Linked DNA regions of Sus scrofa. The protein of the gene in region 2 binds, or shares a complex with, the protein of the main gene of each other region. Links are inferred from orthologs where the notes say so. Each region holds a gene or a part of one and is shown on either strand. Other genes may lie near its edges. The genes, in order: USP46, WDR20 and USP12.

Region 1 (3,646 bases), on a different chromosome or scaffold from region 2:
AAGAGGCTCATGTTCTATTTTCATCTCACACAGCATTTTGTCAGCCACGTTATTACTCTTGTGATTTCCTTAGATTGTTTTCATTTTAGCATGTGTGAAAAATTCTACAGTGAATGTCTCAGCTCCAGGTTTTCCCAAAGCGTTGGCTCTGTGGTTGGTTGAAAACCAGTGAGATGGTGTCTTCCCTTGTTACTTATGATCTTGAGTATCCATGGCTTTTGAGAGGGGCAGAGTCTTACGGGGTGAGCCCCAGTCAGATTGCACAAGACCGGGACCTGAGTGGTATTATGGTGGGACAGCTGCCTCCTTGGCAGAAACAAGATTGCTCTGGAGAAAGTGAAGAAAGTCTGAGACCAAGGGCAGGTGTGCTAGAATCTTGAAAGAGAGAAACCAAAACAATCCCCTTGCACTTCAGGCAGTTTTAGCTGAGCAAGTGGTTTCTAGAACCTGGATTTCTTTCTGATTGGGCTTTTAATTTTCCCTGTCGTAGGAGTTTTGGTGTGTGGCAGTGTGACGTCTTTTGTGGAGCCAGCTACTTTTCTGAGGCTCCACAGGAAGTCAGTTTTTTCTTCCTCAGAGCCTCTCTTTTTAAGCACCGGAAGTTCTCATTAGGTTATTTAAAAATCAAGGCCAAGGGCTTCTGATCGTCTTAAAGGCTTTTATGGGCTGGAGTGCGAACAGGCTTGAACAGGCTTGTGGTGATTGGATAATTGCTGGTGTTCAGAGTGGCTTACTGGTCTTAGAACGTGGTGAGCAACTCTGCAATGTGTGTGCTGAATCTGGGCCGGTTCAGAGGGTGGCCCTCTTCCCACCCATCACCCCATCCAGAGGTGGCACGGCCCTGGACCCTGATGGGAACTCTCTTTGCTGTCCTTTGGCAGTTCGGAAACACCTGCTACTGTAACTCTGTGCTTCAGGCCTTGTACTTCTGCCGGCCTTTCCGGGAGAATGTGCTGGCATACAAGGCCCAGCAAAAAAAGAAGGAAAACTTGTTGACGTGCCTGGCAGACCTTTTCCACAGCATCGCCACGCAGAAGAAGAAAGTCGGCGTGATCCCACCAAAGAAGTTCATTTCGCGGCTGAGAAAAGAAAATGGTGAGTTAGCCTGGGGACAGATGTGTTTCAGGCTCTGAAAAGGGGAATCGATAGTTCTGTGTCGCCTCAAAATGAATCTTTTTTTTTTTTTTTTTTTTGTAATGGGAGTTTGCTTGTGTCACAGCTGGTTAAGGATCCGGTGTTGTCACTGCGGCAGGGTCACAGCTGTGGCTTGGGTTGATCCCTGGCCCAGGAATTTCCACATGCTGCAGGTGCAGCCAAAAAAAAAAAAAACCAACACCAACAACCAAAACCATACAAAACTGAATAAAAGTACTTAAAAACTTGAATTTGTCATTCCATTTTGGAGTGATCTTTTTAATTGCTCATTGTTGGGAGGAGTTTTTTCTGGATAGGATCTTGTAAGAGGAGAGATCGCCCAAGGCAGGACACTGATTGAAATAAATAGATTGATAACAATAATTGAATCAAATCGTACTGTCTTATAAACTTGTCATAAATGATTAAAGTAAATGCATATTATCTAATCAGAGCCTCTGCGCTGTTTTAAAAATAATCCTCCTGATTTTTATTCGCCAAGACATTTGAAAGATATCACATTGATATTTTTCCATGATAAAAATGTCTGGCTGATTTTCTTCTTCCTTTTTTTGTCTTTTTAGGGCCTCACCCTCAGCATATGGGAGTTCCCAGGCGAGGGGTCCAGTGGGAGCTGCAGCTTCTGGCCCACGCCACAGCCACAGCAACACGGGATCCAAGCCTCGTCTGCAATCCACACCACAGCTTGAGGCAATGCCAGATCCCTAACCCACTGAGTGAGGCCAGGGATTGAACCCACATCCCCATGGATACCAGTGGGGTTTGTTTCTGCTGAGCCACAAGGAAATCTCCTTTTTTTGTTTTTTGTTTTAAATCTTCTTTTTGGAAGAGGTAGTGGTGGAGACCAGGTTATTCCAAAAATTCTGCCTGGGTAATTTTGTGACTATAGAATATGTGCTATGGCAACTTGTGCTTCCCCCAGGATTTCAACCTCACTTGCAACAGACTTGCACAATCAGATGTTTGTGTTATAAAGTCTCATGGAACTTGATTGCTGTCTTTTGAAGTTGTTGTAGTTTATACAGACCAGAATAAAACTAATCTGAGAGGGAAGCAGAGCCCCCTCCCAAGTCTCCTTGTCAACATGATTAATAATGAAGTTTCATAGCTGCATCCATCTCTTGCTTGTCCTTAGGGCGAGCAACAGCCACCGGCTCCTGGAATCTTTTGTATTTGGTTTCAGAGCGCTATCGGATAGGTACAGTCTCATGTGTACAGCCCTCATCTCCCTTATGTGCTGCATTGAAGCCGCTTCCAGGCTGGTTCAGGGTTTAATACAATCTTTGGGAAGAGACCCTGTTGCTCTGGATAAAGTACAAAGTGAATAATTAATCATTGGTGGTCACCTCATATTCAATATTGATATTTTATCAGGGAGCTTATCAAGTAATTCCTGTTATTTTTCTTTCTGTAAAACAAAAAAGCTTTGGTAGCTTCGTATATGTATACACGGTATACACACACACACATATATATGTATACAATGGCTTTAAGAAGATATGGGAAATTTAGTTCTTGGTGGATGGTAGGTGAAAAATGGAAAAAGAACAAAAATTTTCTAAAAACTAATCCATTGAAGTTGCACAATAGAGATGAATATATGCCATACCTCTCTCCTCTTTCAATATAAAAGCTGAAGTGTGGTTTTTTACAATTAAGCACTGTCTTTGCCTTTTAAGAACCAGAGGTTGAAATAATGGCCTTCTCCCTTCCAGATCTCTTTGATAACTACATGCAGCAGGATGCTCACGAGTTTCTAAATTATTTGCTAAACACTATTGCGGACATCCTGCAGGAAGAGAAGAAGCAGGAGAAACAAAATGGGAAATTAAAAAATGGCAACATGAACGAACCTGCGGAGAATAATAAACCAGAACTCACCTGGGTCCATGAGATCTTTCAGGGAACGCTCACCAATGAGACTCGATGCTTGAACTGTGAAACTGTAAGCATCAGGAGGGCTTTCGTGTGAGCTGCTTGTGCGTGTTTGTAACAGCTGCGTTGTGCGTGAATGCAGGGTGGTGTCGTGAGTGCAGGGCGGTGTTGTAGCCCCCGCAGTTGTCTCAAATACCTGCACATCGTCTATTTATGTGTGTGCACCTCAGATGCAGACTTTTGGAAGCATGCCTCCAGCCAAGATGTTTCAGCCACCTCAAGTAGAGTGAGGAGGGAAAAATCGCAAAAACTAGATTGCTTTGCATCACGGGCTGTTTTGAGGGTCTAAAAATTCGACCATTGAACTGGACCTCCACCACTTAGCTTGAAAAGATTTTGGCCATGAGGCGGTCCCTCTCCCCCACATAAGGGGAATCAGCCATGGTAGGATGAACTTGAAATGGAAAGACAAGCTTGACCTCGGATTCTCCAGCAGTTTGCTGGGTGTTCAGGACCAGTCCCTTATAGCACTGCGGTAAAGACTGGGTGACTTTGTGTCTGGGCGAGTCTGGCACATGGCAGGCGCCTAGTGTTAGTCGAATTTGAAAATATTTTC
Region 2 (3,646 bases):
GCTTTCTCCCCAGATGGCAAGTTCTTGGCGTGCGTGAGCCAGGACGGCTTCCTGCGGGTGTTCAACTTTGACTCGGTGGAGCTGCACGGCACCATGAAAAGCTACTTTGGAGGCTTGCTGTGCGTGTGCTGGAGCCCCGACGGCAAGTACATTGTGACGGGCGGCGAGGACGACCTGGTGACGGTCTGGTCTTTTGGAGACCGCCGGGTGATAGCGCGGGGCCACGGGCACAAGTCCTGGGTCAGCGTGGTGGCCTTCGACCCCTACACCACCAGCGTGGAGGAGAGCGACCCTCTGGAGCTGAGTGGCAGCGACGAGGACTTCCAAGACCTTCTGCACTTCGGCCGAGACCGCGCCAACAGCACCCAGTCCCGGCTGTCCAAGCGGAACTCGACCGAGAGCCGCCCCGTCAGCGTCACCTACCGCTTCGGCTCCGTGGGCCAGGACACGCAGCTCTGCCTCTGGGACCTCACGGAGGACATCCTCTTCCCCCACCAGCCCCTCTCGAGAGCGAGGACACACACCAACGTCATGAACGCCACGAGCCCCCCCGTCGGCAGCGCCGGGAACAGTGTCTCGACGCCGGGCAACGCGGCGCCGCCGCCCCTGCCGCGGTCCAACAGCCTCCCGCACTCGGCCGTGTCCGGCGCGGGCAGCAAGAGCAGCGTCGCCGACGGGGCCGTGGCGTCCGGGGTCAGCAAGTTCGCCACGCTCTCCCTGCACGAGCGCAAGGACAGGCACCACGAGAAAGACCACAAGCGAAACCACAGCATGGGACACATCTCTAGCAAGAGCAGCGACAAACTGAACCTGGTCACGAAAGCCAGAACGGACCCAGCTAAAACTCTGGGCACGGCCCTGTGCCCTCGGATGGAAGACGTTCCCTTGTTAGAGCCGCTCATCTGTAAAAAGATAGCCCACGAAAGACTGACGGTATTGATTTTTCTTGAAGACTGTATAGTCACTGCTTGTCAGGAGGGATTTATTTGCACATGGGGAAGGCCTGGTAAAGTGGTAAGTTTTAACCCTTAATGCTGCACCAGATCTAGAACTTGAATAGGTAGTGATTTTTTTCTTGCGGGAGGGGCGGGGTGTACAATGACTGTGAATGACACTTCTTCTTAATGTAAATCTCAATGCATCAGAGCCATAATTTTGGATACTGCATGCCATGTAATTCCGAATCATTTGATAATTCACCTTAGAACGTTTAAAAAATATAATCAAACTAATTGCCAGCCAAGTCAGTCACCCTCCTGGGAGTATATAGCGTCCCCAGGCTAGCGTTCCTGTATTAGACGATTTCGATTTTAGGAAAATCATGACAGTGTGGGGAAACAGTGACTTTAAAAATGCTAAAATTAAAATTTCTGCTTCAACTGGAATATTTTTGCTCAAGCACTCAATTAGAATATTGTACACCTGATCAGAGCGTGTGTTCACTACGGGCGGCCATTAACTGTCATTTATAAGAAGTCCCCTTTTTTATCTTAATCATAAAATGTGTAGGAATCTATGAAATTTAACTTTAGGAACAAAGCGTTCAGCAGGGTTGATTGATATTATTTTTACATTGTCTGGCAATCCACAGAAAGAGAAGAGCCTTAATTTTTAAAACCCATTTTAGTCATTTTATGACAATTAAAATTGTTTAATAAACATCTTTTTTCAAAGAAGCAGTTTGTAGCACTTTGATTGAGATTCTGTGCACTAAATAAAATATCCACGAGCCTGGCCAGTTACCATGAACTGCGGGCTGAGGGCGCCAGCAGCGTTGGCAGAAGTGCCTCTTGACACATAAGCCAAGATCTTTTATGTCGAATGCAATTTGCTTATGTTTTCTCCAGCAAGGGGAAGGAGGTTCTGTTTTCTTTTGGGTTCGGGGGGAGGGACTCTTGTGAGTTTTTGTGGTTTTTTGGTCAAAAGGCACATGACCGGAGGCCCTTCAGACTCCTCGGCTTTGTGGTGTGAAGACTCCTAGGCCCCCAGGGTGCAGAGAACTTGCAGCTTTTCCCTGGTTTGGGTTTTGTGTTCCCGCCGGAGGGGAAGGGCCGGTGCAGGTTGCTCCTTTTCTTGTGGTCAGGTTAGTCGTGGTTCACGAGCTGTGATCATTCCCGGGATGCCCCGGGCCTCTGGGTCGGGGGCTCCCACCCCAAGCGCCTCCCCTGCCTGGGGTCTGTGGCTGCTGGTGCCAGGGCCGCCCTCTGCTCAGACTGGCTGCTTCCGGAGGCTTCCGCCTCCAGGGGAAACTGCTGTGTTTGACTGAGTCCTCAAGATCCCTCCTAGCTGTGGGCGGGGTTTTCTTTCCGATTCCAGTTGAGACGATGGATGAGATGGCGCTTTGAGCTGTGTGTTTTAAGTCAGGATGATGCGGATCTTATTATTTTGGTCACTTCGGTTTGTTTTTCTGTTGCACCCGCCTTGGCGATTAAACATAGCCAGCCTGATCACTTACCTTGGTGTGAGTCGTAAACGCAGTTCAGCCAAGTGCCGGCCTGGAGACCCTGGCTTCTCTGCAGGGTGAGGGTGGCTGATGGAGCAGAAGCGCTGTGCTCCTCCAGCAGCCAGAGCGCGCCCACCCACCGCCCCCCTCCCCGGGGAAGGCCGGGCCAGCTCCCCCCGCCATGCCCCGCTGCACACGTGTCCACCTGCCCGTGACGCAGGTGGCCTCTGTTACCTGTGGCAGCAGTGGCAGTGTCCTTCCAGCTGCATGTCCCCCTGGGTACGCGTCACGGTCCGTGGGACTGTTGGCGTCCTGTAACCTGGAAGGTATGGTCCTTTGTTCCTAAACGTTAACCACCCTAGGGTGGCAAAGCCAGCCATCCCTGTGGGCTCTTTGAACTGCGAAGGCTAATAAATTGGCTGTCAGATGCAGAGGTTAGGGACCGACACGCCACGTGCAGCCGTATGTACCCACATAGTTTCAGAAATTCCGTTTCAAATGCTTCTGAGGCATTGAGTATGCAGTTTCAAAATTCAGGACTTTGTATTTGGCCTAAGCGGAAGTGGCGATCGGATCCCAGGTAAGTAGCCTTTGGAGGAGAGCCTGTCAAGCATGACCTTTCAGCTCATCACACTGCTGGCAGAAGAGCCTTGCGTGTGGCCCGCGGAACTGGCGCTTGGGCGACTGGGCTCTTTCTGGTTCCTTCTGGCCGTCAGTGTCTGCTGGGGAGACTAACCTGGGGGGGTCTGGGGGTGGGAGCAGGGTAGGAGAGGCGAGAGGGGGATGGTATCGTGTCCTTAAGAAAGAAGCTCGAGGAGTTGCCCTTGTGGCTCAGCAGAAGTGAATCTGACAAGGATCCATGAGGACACAGGTTCAATCCCTGGCCTCGCTCAGTGGGTTAAGGATCCGGCGTTGCTGTGAGCTGTGGTCACAGTGTGGCTCGAATCCTGCGTTGCTGTGGCTGTGCTGTAGGCCGGCAGCTACAGCTCCGATTCGATCCCTAGCCTGGGACTCTCCATATGCCGTGGATGCGGCCCTAAAAAGACAAAAAGACCAAAAAAAAAAAAAAAAAACAGCTCTGAAATGTGTTGACCAAAGTCGGCGTCCATCTTCGCCGCCGCCCCCACCTTCAGCTTTCCAGTCCGTGGTCCCCGCACAGTTTGGGATTTGGGCCTTGGTCGCAGTCTCGCTCTTCCAGTTTCC
Region 3 (3,646 bases), on a different chromosome or scaffold from region 2:
GGTGCCTTAACCTGGGACTGGCCACCCTCTAGACCGGGAGGAATAAGTCCTCTATGGTTTAAGCCACCTCGTGTCCGGGATTTTGACCACAGCGGCTCTAACTAAGAGAGAACACGTACAATCCACTATTCAACAAGGTCAAGAAAAACGTCCTGTTACATGGAAAGGGAAACAGTGGGTACTCACATTCTACGTTTCATGTTTCTGACGTGGAACGTTTTCTGAAACACTCATCGCCCCGAAAGGACAGCATGTTCGGTTACCGTGTACAGCTGACCCTTGAACAAGGAGCAGGGACTCCCCACAGAGACCCAATCCCCTGTACCCGTGGTCCCTGGTCCCGGTCCCGCGTCTGTGCTTGTGAGCCAGTGCAGAGGGCGGAGTTCTGCGGGATCTACTAAGGAGCAGACCCCAGACGCCCGGCCCACGCGAGTCAGACCACGCCGTTCAAGGGTCAACTTACACAAACTTTCTGCCAGGACAAACGTTTTTAAGTTTCTTACTAATACGGGCAAAAAGACGTGAATCACTCAGTCCACATTCTAACCGAGTTGTACTTGGCTCTTTTAAAACAGAAGATACTATGCAGGCCCGTAGTTTACATCAGTGTTTAGTTTTAATCAGGGAAACACAACAGAGATGTGTGTTTTGTGAGCAGTTAATCAACTGCTCTATATTTTTATATAGAAAAGGTGAAGAAAATCTTTAACACGGGATCAGATTCAAGAATAATCATCTATGGCCCCACCACTGCAGCGTCTCTGTGCGCTTCAGGAGGTTAGATACGACCCCGCTTAATCATGTGACGATGAACAGGTCAGCGGAGCCGAGGGCAGGACGCCCCACTGGTGTGTTTACCAACCAACCTTAAAGACGTCTCAAGTCATATGTCCGCAGACACCACCGCATTTTTTTTCATTTTTTCAAGTTTTATTGAAGCACAGTTGATTTAAATGTTGTGACCACTTCTGCTGCACAACAGAGTGAGTCAGGGTGTCCGCGTCCAGCTGGCTCGCTCTGTTGTGCAGCAGAAACGGCCAAGCACTGGGATCCCTGTAGCTGACAGCTAACAAACTAAACCACCCCCCGACTTTATTTCTACAGGGGTGGAAATGCCTACATCCAACAGAACGGAACCCAGAACCCTACGTGTCCCCTAGACCCCTCTGAACTCGGGCAGCAGAGCCCAGCGGACGGCTGTGCTCCACCCTCAGGACCAGGACGGAGCCGAGCTCGCCACCGTCTCTGAGCACCAGTGATGCACGTGAAGGGAGGGAGCCGATGTCTAAGGTGCGGGCCGGCCGTGGAAACGGAAGGAAAAGCATCTTAAGAGAAAAGGGAAGTGGGGTGTAATCAGTAACTGTTTAAATTTATTTACTTTTATTTTTTTATTTTTTTGGTCTTTTTGCCTTTTCTAGGGCCGCACCTGAGGCATCTGGAGGTTCCCAGGCTAGGGGTCGAATTGGAGCCATAGGTGCCGGCCTACACCACAGCCCCACGGGATCCGAGCCACGTCTGTGACCTACACCACAGCTCATGGCAACGCCAGATCCTTAACCCACTGAGGGAGGCCAGGGAGTGAACCTGCAACCTCATGGTTCCTAGTCGGATTCGTTAACCACTGCGCCTCAACGGGAACGCCAGTAACTACTTTTAAAGGGAGGAGGACGGGGTAAAACCGCCTACCCTAGGCCGGGACGTTCAGTTTAATTTACTGTTGGCTTTTTCTCGTCCCTGGGGTGTGACTCCTGACGAGTCCCTTAGCGTCTGTTTTTTTCACGCCAAAACGGGGCAGTAACATGCTCCCCAGATCCCGTTACTGTCAGGACCACATGAGGTAACACACACGAAAGCGAGATGAAAGCCACAAATGTACAATAACTGGGCCCCAAACCAAACTTTTCTCGAGAGGAGAAGCCTGGCAGGCCAAACGCGATGCCAGGCTTCCTCGCTTGCTGGCACACAGACCCAGATCTCGGAACAGCGCTCAGCCCTCCCCGAACCGGCACCTCCTCGGACACGGGAAGGCTCCCGCATCCCCGCCCGGCCCCCCGGCCCGCGAGCAACGCGGCACGCAGCCCATTACCATTCTCCTTCCGTAACCGCGTTATGAACTTCTTGGGCGGGATGACCCCAACCTTCTTCTTCTGCGTGGCGATGCTGTGGAAGAGGTCGGCCAGGCACGTGAGGAGGCTCTCCTTCTTCCGGGGCTGGCTCTTGTAGGCGAGAACTTTCTCCCGGAACGGACGGCAGAAATAAAGTGCTTGGAGGACGGAGTTGCAGTAGCAGGTGTTCCCGAACTGGGGTGGAAAAGACACGGTTTGTGAAAAGGGGGAACGCGCAGTCCCGAGAACAAATGCGCACGTGGGTGGCGGAGAGAAGAGCGGGGGGCCTCATGATCCCCGTGAACTGAAACTGCCTCGGCCGCTGCGACATTCAGCGGACGCTCCTGGCATCCGCTTCCGGTCTTGCGGTTACAATGGAAGCAAACACATGCAGTAAGCTTGGCCTTAACGAAAACAGATTCAAGGAACCCGGCAGTTTGGGGCGTTCCTGCCGTGGTGTAGTGGGATGAGGATCCAGTGTTGCTGCAGCTGTGGTGTAGGCGCAGCTGCAGCTGGGATCTGGTCCAGGAACTTCCAAAAGAGAAAGGGGAAAAAGAGAGAAAAGGAAACACACAAAAAACCATACAGTTTAAACCGTGAGAATAGGTAATCTTTAGGATCCTGGAGAATTTTTCTTTTTCAATTCCCATCGTTAGTATCAATTATATACAAAGCACTTGATATACTATATATTTTAAAATATAACTCTCAGAGTTCCTGTTGTGGCTAAACAGTAACGAACCCAACTAGTATCCACGAGGATGTGGGTTCGATCCCTGACCTCACTCAGTGGGTTAAGGATCCGGTGTTGCTGTGAGCTGTGGTGTAGGTTGCAGAGGAAGCTTGGATCTGGTGTGGCTGTGACTGTGGTGTAGGCCGGCAGCTGTAGCTCCGATGAAACCCCTAGCCTGGGATCTTCCATACGCCATGGGTGAGACCCTAAAAGTAAATAAATAAATAAAAATAAATCTAACTCTCAAAAAAATTCTTTCCCACATAAGTGAGGTTTACTGTCAGGTTCCTCAGTGGCATCCAAAAAATGAACAAAAAGGAGAGACAAGGAAAAACAAGACCCTCTGAAACATGAACTGAAAAAGCACCAGTGCCAAAGCATATCCACCAGGGACGCGCTGAAATGGCAGGTCAGACTACTCTTGATCTATGGGAAAGACGTGGACTCAGCTCCTGAGCTCAGTCCTGAACCACAACCTCTGTCTTACTGGCCATGTGACCTGGAGAAGGTCCATACCACTCACGGAGCCTCAACTCCCTGCTCTTTAATAACAGGAGGAAACACTCCTGCCTTACAAAGAAAATAACACATAATTGATAAATATGTTCTGCCTTCATTTTCCCTTACCATCAACAGAAACTGGCTCCCAATGCCAACTAATAAAACACCTAAAAGTCAGTCACTGAAGCTGTGGGGAGCGCCTGGAAATTGTGAAAAAAAGGAATGAGGACGGTTCTCACAGTCCTGCCAGGGACAGGATCCGTAAACATTAACCCTAGAAGGCCACAGAGAGGAGTTCCTGTTGCGG

What was found.
Region 1: the proteins of WDR20 (region 2) and USP46 are in contact, whole or in part, in a crystal structure (PDB 6JLQ), measured with the Homo sapiens proteins. The link is inferred for Sus scrofa from reciprocal best matches to the Homo sapiens genes WDR20 and USP46. Residues at the interface, in NP_653175.2 of Homo sapiens: Asn41, Ser42, Gly44, Arg151, Lys259, Tyr261, Phe262, Gly263, Glu282, Asp283, Asp284, Leu285, His301, Lys304, Ser305, Trp306, Gln374, Asp375, Thr376, Leu509, Arg516, Met517, His533, Glu534, Arg535; in NP_073743.2 of Homo sapiens: Asn205, Thr206, Ser207, Thr209, His210, Arg213, Arg273, Val275, Phe276, Pro277, Glu279, Leu280, Arg281, Phe283, Asp293, Met295, Gln338, Glu342, Tyr344, Thr347, Ser348.
Region 3: the proteins of WDR20 (region 2) and USP12 are in contact, whole or in part, in a crystal structure (PDB 5K1C), measured with the Homo sapiens proteins. The link is inferred for Sus scrofa from reciprocal best matches to the Homo sapiens genes WDR20 and USP12. Residues at the interface, in NP_653175.2 of Homo sapiens: Asn41, Ser42, Gly44, Ser45, Arg151, Ser170, Lys259, Ser260, Tyr261, Phe262, Gly263, Glu282, Asp283, Asp284, Leu285, His301, Lys304, Ser305, Trp306, Gln374, Asp375, Thr376, Arg516, Met517, His533, Glu534, Arg535; in NP_872294.2 of Homo sapiens: Glu207, Asn209, Thr210, Ser211, Thr213, His214, Arg217, Arg277, Val279, Phe280, Pro281, Leu282, Glu283, Leu284, Arg285, Phe287, Asp297, Met299, Gln342, Glu345, Tyr348, Thr351, Ser352.

Annotation. Positions count from the first base shown.
Region 1 is NC_010450.4:39,547,430-39,551,075, reverse strand, and holds part of USP46 (ubiquitin carboxyl-terminal hydrolase 46), read left to right. Parts: intron 1-881; coding exon 882-1,095; intron 1,096-2,870; coding exon 2,871-3,100; intron 3,101-3,646. UniProt on the Homo sapiens protein: Deubiquitinating enzyme that plays a role in behavior, possibly by regulating GABA action. May act by mediating the deubiquitination of GAD1/GAD67.
Region 2 is NW_018084979.1:1,033,892-1,037,537, forward strand, and holds part of WDR20 (WD repeat-containing protein 20), read left to right. Parts: coding exon 1-1,014; exon of another isoform or gene 1,015-3,646. UniProt on the Homo sapiens protein: Regulator of deubiquitinating complexes. Activates deubiquitinating activity of complexes containing USP12. Anchors at the base of the ubiquitin-contacting loop of USP12 and remotely modulates the catalytic center of the enzyme.
Region 3 is NC_010453.5:4,637,725-4,641,370, forward strand, and holds part of USP12 (ubiquitin carboxyl-terminal hydrolase 12), read right to left. Parts: intron 2,301-3,646; coding exon 2,087-2,300; intron 1-2,086. UniProt on the Homo sapiens protein: Deubiquitinating enzyme that plays various roles in the regulation of the immune response and inflammation.